Arabidopsis thaliana: one gene and its partner. The protein of the gene in region 1 binds, or shares a complex with, the protein of each later gene. Each region holds a gene or a part of one and is shown on either strand. Other genes may lie near its edges. A codon is read from its position in the direction of its gene.

Region 1 (4,898 bases):
TACGTTTTCTGGATGATTGCAGGGAGAGAGCACCAAGTACCATTTCCTGGTAGCAAACGCTAAATTCATGCTTGACGAAGAGGAGCACTTCCAGGAGCAATTGTTTGAACGTCTCCGTTACTTCGGTGAGCGTGAATTAGTGCAAGACTTCTGGCTTGTCATTGAGCCTAAATTCCTTGACAATTTCCCCAAAATTACTCAAAGACTTCGTCGTCCTGCTGTTGCTCTTGTTTCCACCAATGGCACCTGGATCACGTTAGAACCCTAATCCCAATCTCTCTCTTTTCAAAATTACGTTCCTCACTCCCTCCTTATCTAACGCATTTGTGTTTTGCAATTTGTTGTTTTATGGCAGGTTTATGAAGTTAAGATTGGATCGTGTTCTGTATGATTCCTTTGAAGCTACCTCTCTTGATGAAGCTTTGGCCTCCAATCCTACCACTCTTGAGTTCGATAAGCCTAAAAATTGGGTGGCGCCATACCCCAAGTATGAACCTGGATGGTGGGATACCTTCTTGCCTAAAGTAACCCAAGAATCTGCAGTATAGAACTTTGCTTTTTGTCTTGTTTTTGCATTCTCCAATCTCAGCTTTGTCTTAGTGCTTCAAAGTTTTGTACTACTGAGCTCATTATCCAAGTCTATATCTTTCCTAGTGTAGCTTCTATTACTCAAAGTTGCCTGTTTGATACGTCACTGACTCAAGGTTAAGCATAGAACTAGACAACAAAAAGCATCCTCACATTTAGCTCCATCAAAGTCTTAAGGGTGACCATATTTGTTGATTTCTCACGAGAATATTGGCAAGAACCTTCAGTTAAAGCTCTAGGTATTAAGTTGTCTAGTCACAGGAGGGCAATATGCCTACTCGCTGAAGAACTTTGCAAAAGATCTGAATTTTTTGGTTTTCAAAACGATTTGTGGACTCGGAACATGTTGTTACTCGTTAGGTCTAGTGACTGGAGTTGATCAAAGTAAGTTGCACATGTTTCTGCTGAATCAAGTGTTCTATGTTGTACTTCTGGATTGCTCTGTAGTCTGTATCTAAGCGTGTCCTATCAATCTTACTGATTATACATACTTTTATTTGTGACAAAGCAGAGTCAGAAATTATCTTTAACTACTCCATGGGAATATACTACCAAGTTACAAATACAGATTTTAACTTTTACTATGGGATGAGTATTGCTACACTTGCGGGAGATGCATTCATGAAAAACTATACACTGGTAGCTCCACTTGTGCCATTAAGTTACTCTTGTGCAGCTAGATTTGCAATTTCTGCTAGAGGCTTCCACACGAACTTTCTCCTGCAGGGGAATTGGTAATGGTCATGCAAATTGCAAACATAGATGATTAGTGTGTATGGTAAGGAATGATATACTCACCAGTTGCCACATTCAGCAATAACCCTGACGTTAGGACGAAGAGAGGGAAGTAAAGCGAGAAATTGAAGCTCCGATTTTGAGAGGACCTGAGTGAAATGGAAATATGAGAAAGAGCATGTGGGAGAACAGATCAAATGAGAGAAACTCAAACCTTTGCTTCGAGGACCCATACAACAAGACCCTTGGCACTAGGGGGAAGAGCAGCGAGCCTGTAATCAACTTCTGGTGGATAATACCATCTTGCTATAGGTTGTTTCCCAAGATGAGCCTAAAAGAAGAGAAGATACATGGTTCACACAAAATTATATTGAAACAAGATTAAAGTAGAAGATGGATGAAAGTAGACATACAGGGCAAACAGGGTAGTTCTTGAGAAGGGTAGTCTCAGGGTCACCAAGGCCACGAGCAGAGATGTCAAGAAAGTAGTAGCCCTGCATTTTGAGACGGTTAAGATAACGACCTTCGTAACCACCCTCATGAGGAGCGTAAATGGCGATTGCCTTGTGTTCTTCCACGTCTTGAAGCCATTGTCCGATGTCCGGCTTCACCAAGTCACCTCCGATGTAGTCAGCTATGCTGCTACATTTCACACCAGTGCTTCTTCTTCTCTTACTCCTAGTATTCACCAAAAAGGAACCAACTGTTTTGATCTTCTTCACTTGCGAGGCTTCAAAACACGGTGGTGCCACACGTTGTATACATATTGCACGGCTTCCCATTTCTTTACTAACAATGACTTCTTGTGGAAGTAGCTCATAATAAACATTGCTTGACGACGATGATGATGAAAGAATGGTGGAGAAACGACGACTCACTCCACAAAGGGATAGACATTAATGGGCTTAAAATGTATTGGGCTTTATTTATTAGGCCCATTAAGCACCGCCGAACGTCGTGACATTGTTAGCTAGCTCGCCGGAGCAAAATTCAGTCTGTGAAACTTTCGGAGAAGAAGGGATGTCGAGAGGATCTCGATTCGTTAGGGCTCCTGGGCTCTTACTCTGTCGCGTTAATCTTCAACCTCAACCCAAAATCCCATCTTTTTCCTACAGTCTTCGCTCTGATTATCGTCTTCATAATGGTTTCTCCAATTACATCAGACGTAACTCAATTCGAACATCTCCGGTTATCAATGCCTTCCTCTCAGATAACTCACCATCCCCGTCACCATCACCATCCCCAATTCGTTTTGTTCAACGGAGTTCAATGCTTAATGGTCGTCTCTTCTCGACTTCTACTCCCAATCCAGACCAAACCACCACCAAGACTAAGGAAATCAAGACAACCTCGTCGGATTCAGACTCAGCTATGGCTGACATGAAGATTCTCCGTACGCTTGCTGGCTATTTGTGGATGAGAGACAATCCAGAATTCCGTTTCAGGGTCATCGCTGCTTTGGGTTTTCTCGTGGGTGCTAAGGTCTTGAATGTCCAAGTCCCTTTCCTCTTCAAATTAGCTGTTGATTGGCTTGCTTCAGCTACCGGTACTGGAGCCTCACTTACCACCTTCGCTGCTACAAACCCAACTCTTCTTACTGTTTTTGCTACTCCTGCTGCTGTTCTCATTGGATACGGGATTGCTCGGACGGGTTCTTCTGCTTTTAATGGTAACTCTCAATAGCTCTAGTTTTCTTTAAAAAAGAATGCACTTTTCACTCTTGGTTGTTACTTTTCATCATCGCAGAACTTCGTACTGCTGTGTTCTCTAAGGTAGCTCTCCGAACAATACGATCTGTTTCTAGAAAGGTATGCTGCTGCTGCTCTAAACTATCTTGTCGATAGAGATATTTTAATGTATGAATCAATTTCATATGGTCGCTTTGCAGGTGTTCTCACATTTACATGATCTTGACCTTCGTTACCACCTAAGGTATCTATCTCTCCTCTCTTACTCTTGTGAGTAGTCTCGCTCATTCCATCTTAGATTCATCTCATCATAACTTCCTTACTTAATTGCTTATGTCCAGTCGAGAAACAGGCGGCTTGAACAGGATTATTGATCGTGGTAGCCGTGCAATAAATTTTATCCTCTCAGCTATGGTTTTCAATGTTGTTCCTACCATATTGGAGGTAAAGCTTGTCTGACCACTTGGTGCTTTCTCATGATCATTGTTTTTTTTCTCATTTTGAATAATTGGCAGTTGCTCATTCATATTTGGATTTCACTATTCATTCGTCTCTAAAAACACTCGACGTAATTAATATGTATCTTTCAGATATCTATGGTATCAGGTATACTGGCATACAAGTTTGGAGCTGCTTTTGCCTGGATTACTTCTCTCTCCGTTGGATCATATATCGTTTTCACATTAGCTGTGACACAGGTACTGTGCCTTTTTCGGTATTCTCTTTTCAATGCCAACTATAATGCAATACTTGCGTTATTATCATGATAATCCAGCAATAACTGTGATATTTTATTTAAGAAACTACTATAGTATACATTGTTCTGGAATTCGTTACTAAGCTTCTCTAATCTTAACTGTATCAACTCTTTGGATCGGCTTAAATCATTCTAGTTGTGATATTAGGTTTGATGATGTATAGAAGGATAGTTGTCTTCATACATTCTCTTCAACTTTCATTATCTTGTTACAAATCTTTTTGGTGTCAAACGCTTTGCTCACGGTTTTATTTATTTTATCCAGTGGCGAACCAAGTTTAGAAAGGCTATGAACAAAGCTGATAATGATGCTAGCACAAGGGCCATTGATTCTCTGATAAATTATGAGGTAAATTTTTAATCTTAATCATTTTGCTTGACTTGCAGTTTTGACAGAATTTCTTTTTCGTTTCAGACTGTCAAATATTTTAACAATGAAGGTTATGAGGCTGAAAAGTATGACCAGTTCCTGAAAAGTAAGTAACTCTACTAGCTGTTTAGATGAAAACATTTATCTTAATTTCCAAAAAAAAAGAGAAAATTCTCCAGTTTTAGTTTGAGCAAGAATAGTAGCAACAAGCCAACAAGTAACAAATGTAGATCAGAAAATGCGCTGATGACTCTTTTTACATCTTTATTTACACGTTCTTTTTCTAGGAAGAAAACCGATTGATATTTTACCATAATATATTATTGCTCCGTCCATTTACCTTAATTTATCTTGTGACGATTCTGCTGCTTATCCCAGAATATGAAGATGCTGCCCTGCAAACTCAAAGAAGTCTTGCTTTCTTAAACTTTGGACAAAGTATCATATTTAGTACAGCTTTATCAACAGCAATGGTGTTGTGCTCTCAGGGTATCATGAATGGCCAGATGACAGTCGGTGATTTGGTCAGTGCGTCCTTTGATTTTTCCTTGACATTGGTATTTTATGTTTCTCTGCATTTTTTATCCAAATTGTTTTCTAATAAGCTTTTGCATATTTGGGTGATGCAGGTTATGGTGAATGGACTTCTCTTTCAGCTGTCTCTTCCTCTAAATTTTTTGGGTAGTGTTTACCGTGAAACAATTCAGAGCCTTGTGGACATGAAATCAATGTTCCAGTTGCTAGAGGTATGTGAGGATGT
Region 2 (3,715 bases), on another chromosome or scaffold:
AGAATTGTATCCCCCCCTTCATTTATTGCTTTCCGATCTTATTTATTCATTCCCAGTTATGTGACTAAAGTTGACTAAGTTATGTGCGCGATACAAAGTTCATAATGCAGAACTCTTTTTTTTTAGTTCATCCTATTGGCTCATTTTTTATCATTCAATAAGCATCTTGTATTTCATAAAAATTGGGGGCAATATAATCCTTACGTAAAGGCCACCCTATCCAACTCTCGGGCATTAGGATCCGTTTCAGTCGTGGATGGCTATCATAAGTGATTCCTAACATATCATAAGATTCCCGTTCTTGAAAATCCGTACTTTTCCAAACCCAGAAAACGGATGGAATTCTAGGATTACTCCTGTGAGTAAATACTTTTATGCAGACTTCTTCCGCTTGATTAACACCATATTCTATTCTCGTAAGATGATACACGCTGGCTAAGAGGCCACCTGGTGCCACATCATAGGCACATTGCGAACGTAAATAATTGTAACCATATACATATAAAATTACAGCAATAGAATGCCAATCTTCGGGCTTTATTTGTAAAGTCTCTATTCCTTGATAATCGAAGCCCAACGATCTATGAACCAGCCCGCGTTTGGCTAGCCAAACGGACAAAGTGCCCTGCATCTTTTTTATTTCCCCCACACCTTTTTTATATAAAATTAAGTATTTCACATTTACCGTTAATTCTAATTTATGAAGATTTTTTTCTGATTCTCTAAAAGCCTCCCTAATTCACTAATTCGTGGGACGATACTGGACTTTTGTATTTAAAAAATGTTTCAGTAGAGATCTCTGAAGTAGATGATGGTGGATAGAGTAGTTCTTGATCATAATTTCCAATATGCGGACTGCGTACAACAAAAAACTTGTGATTGGTAGTAAAACACCGATTACCCTGTTGAGGTCTAATTCGATCCTTATAGATTTCTCTAGCTATTTTCTTACGAAGCTTTGTTATAGCGTCTATAACAGCCTCTGGTTTAGGTGGACAACCCGGCAAATAGACATCTACAGGAATTAGCTTATCAACTCCTCGAACAGTACTATAAGAATCGGTACTGAACATCCCCCCTGTAATTGTACAGGCTCCCATAGCAATAACATACTTCGGTTCAGGCATTTGTTCATATAATCGCACTAAAGAAGGAGCCATTTTCATTGTTACTGTACCTGCTGTTAAAATAAGGTCCGCCTGTCTAGGACTCGATCTTGGTACTAACCCATAACGATCAAAGTCAAATCGGGAGCCTATTAATGAGGCAAATTCAATGAAACAACAACTGGTACCATAAAGAAGCGGCCATAGGCTGGAAAGTCTTGACCAATTTGAAAGATCATTTAACGTAGTTGAAATAACGGAATTTTTTGTTGTTCGATCAAGTATGGGAAACTTAATGGAATTCATAATTGTTTCAATGGTTTTTTTTACTTTTTTTTTTTTTATTATTGTATCAAGTATTCGGTAAACGAACTAAGACCATTCCAATGCTCCTTTTCGCCATGCATAAACTAAACCAAGAATTAGGATAAGCACGAAAATGAAAGCTTCTATAAAAGCAGATACCCCCAGTACATCGAAACTCATTGCCCACGGATACAGAAAAACAGTTTCAACATCAAAAACAACAAAAACTAGAGCAAACATATAATAACGGATTCTAAATTGTAACCAAGCATCCCCGATCGGTTCTATACCTGATTCATAACTAGAAAGTTTCTCCGGCCCCTTCCTAATTGGAGATAAAACTCCGGAAATTAGAAATGCCAAAACAGGAATAGCACTTGATATTAGTAAAAATGCCCAGAAAATATCATATTCGTAAAGCAGAAACATAGACGAACTCCTATGAATGTGGAAAAAATACCCGCTTAGTCAATTCCAATCGGAGTGGATTGGGCAAGGGATATAGAACTCTTGAGTCAAAACAAAAATTCAGGTTAATCGAATCATTTTTTTTCGTTTGGTTGTTGTGGTAGACGTCTCGTTTTAAGATTTATTGATTTCTTATTTTCAGTACACTTATTACTTAATAGTTCCATGTTTCTATTACTAATAGTTTCTAATATAATAATATAATATTAATCTGATTAATAACTAGTAATTTTTTTTATTTCTGTTTATGTTTAAAAAAATTTTTCGAAAAATCTCTTCGTTTTTTAAATGATGACGTATCAAAAAATCCAGTAAGACTTTACCATACTCATCTTACTTAGTATTAGATAGATTGAATTTTGGTTGAATTTAATTAGATTTCTTTTTTTATTTTTAAACAAGGCCGTGTGATAAAAAAAGTAACCAAGATTGAGTGGGGATACAAAAAAAAAAAGAAAGTATTATGAACTTTTTGATTGTAGCTAGTGAACGAGGAAAATTCATATAAAAAAATTACAACTATGAAAATTAATGAAGAAAAAGGTTTATTCTAAATTATAAATTAAGTATCTATCTCGATATATCGATAGATAGTGATTGGCTCCATTGAAATAAAATGAAATTTTCCGTTTTATTCTGAACGATCCCCAGGACTTATGGTTTATGATATGGAAATTTTTTTTATGAACCGAGCAATTAAAAGTAACCTGTTAGAAATAAAGAATACAAAAAAAAGTAAAAAAATTTATCCAATTATTTTGATTTTAATGTGATTTTTTAGAATAAATTTCTTAGTTAGGGCTATACGGACTCGAACCGTAGACCTGCTCGGTAAAAGAGTTCGAACTTATTATTATCAAAATGATTCGAACTCTTTCAAAGACCCAACATGCATTTTTTTTTGCATTGGGCTCTTTCATTAACTGATCGAAAGATCAGTTAGTCTACCATATTTTTTCTTAAAAAAAAGATAAGAAATGGTTCCAAGTACTCTGATTGATTATTTTTGAATTCTAATACAATACAGAAGAACTACCAAAGTGTTTCAAAGAAGGGTTCTCTTGACGTAGGTTTGCTTTTGGTCTAGATCAACTTAAGTTAAATATAGTCTCTAACATCCTGATTAAAAAATCAAACATGAAACTTGATACACCTTAAGGTTCATAGGACGAAAAGATCATTTTTGAGTTCCTTATACTCATTCTACCTAGCATTGAGTAGACTGGGTATTCACCCTATCAATATCTCAAATCAATGATGGGTTCTATTCATTCCCTACCTAACGGGGTACTTTAATAGGACCTAATGTCAGGCTGTTGTTCTCCTCTTTTTTCCTAAAAAAAAGTCATGGAGTAAGACATCGATTTCTTAATAAGATCAATCAATTAGTTTGATTGCGTGATGGACTCCTCTGAAAAACTTTGGCGCACGTGTAAACGAGGTGCTCTACCTAACTGAGCTATAGCCCTTGTGTTTGTGATACACATTTTATCTTATCATGTAGATAATTTCTTGTCAAGATTAATATTACATGATCGAACATTATATCTCTTTGATCTCATTGTTTATTGGTATTGCTTAGAAATAATATTGGATTTATAATCCTATCGATGTGATAGGTATCCCCTTTCCTTCTCTTTACAATGATAAATAACCTACTTAACTCAGTGGTTAGAGTATTGCTTTCATACGGCAGGAGTCATTGGTTCAAATCCAATAGTAGGTATAACTTATTAGACACCATGATCAATGGTGTCTAATAAGTTTTTGTAACCAGCTTTTTTTATTTTATTGTTTTTATCGTCTTTCGATCCTATTTTTTTTATACATTCTTT

Evidence for each region.
Region 2: the proteins of NdhN (region 1) and ndhK are in contact, whole or in part, in a cryo-EM structure (PDB 7WFG), measured with the Arabidopsis thaliana proteins. Residues at the interface, in NP_200634.1 of Arabidopsis thaliana: Pro80 (codon at 1,868), His81 (codon at 1,865), Gly83 (codon at 1,859), Gly84 (codon at 1,856), Tyr85 (codon at 1,853), Glu86 (codon at 1,850), Gly87 (codon at 1,847), Arg88 (codon at 1,844), Leu90 (codon at 1,838), Asn91 (codon at 1,835), Arg92 (codon at 1,832), Leu126 (codon at 1,648), Lys128 (codon at 1,642), Tyr142 (codon at 1,600), Ala146 (codon at 1,588), Pro148 (codon at 1,582), Pro149 (codon at 1,579); in NP_051063.1 of Arabidopsis thaliana: Ser3 (codon at 1,406), Ile4 (codon at 1,403), Lys5 (codon at 1,400), Phe6 (codon at 1,397), Pro7 (codon at 1,394), Thr20 (codon at 1,355), Asp24 (codon at 1,343), Trp28 (codon at 1,331), Thr117 (codon at 1,064), Asp118 (codon at 1,061), Thr151 (codon at 962), Arg154 (codon at 953), Lys155 (codon at 950), Ala158 (codon at 941), Arg159 (codon at 938).

Annotation. Positions count from the first base shown.
Region 1 is NC_003076.8:23,559,825-23,564,722, forward strand, and holds NdhN (oxidoreductases, acting on NADH or NADPH, quinone or similar compound as acceptor), read right to left. Parts: upstream 2,178-4,898; 5' UTR 2,106-2,177; coding exon 1,737-2,105; intron 1,655-1,736; coding exon 1,538-1,654; coding exon of another isoform or gene 1,532-1,537; exon of another isoform or gene 1,473-1,531; coding exon 1,387-1,472; intron 1,309-1,386; coding exon 1,251-1,308; 3' UTR 744-1,250; downstream 1-743. Other genes in the region: EMB3143 (YCF54), read left to right, coding at 23-255, 356-548; ABCB25 (ABC transporter of the mitochondrion 3), read left to right, coding at 2,344-2,992, 3,070-3,131, 3,212-3,255, 3,353-3,455, 3,602-3,709, 4,034-4,117, 4,184-4,244, 4,517-4,662 and 1 more. UniProt on the Arabidopsis thaliana protein: NDH shuttles electrons from NAD(P)H:plastoquinone, via FMN and iron-sulfur (Fe-S) centers, to quinones in the photosynthetic chain and possibly in a chloroplast respiratory chain.
Region 2 is NC_000932.1:48,523-52,237, forward strand, and holds ndhK (NADH dehydrogenase subunit K), read right to left. Parts: upstream 1,413-3,715; coding exon 735-1,412; downstream 1-734. Other genes in the region: ndhJ (NADH dehydrogenase subunit J), read right to left, coding at 155-631; ndhC (NADH dehydrogenase subunit 3), read right to left, coding at 1,479-1,841. UniProt on the Arabidopsis thaliana protein: NDH shuttles electrons from NAD(P)H:plastoquinone, via FMN and iron-sulfur (Fe-S) centers, to quinones in the photosynthetic chain and possibly in a chloroplast respiratory chain.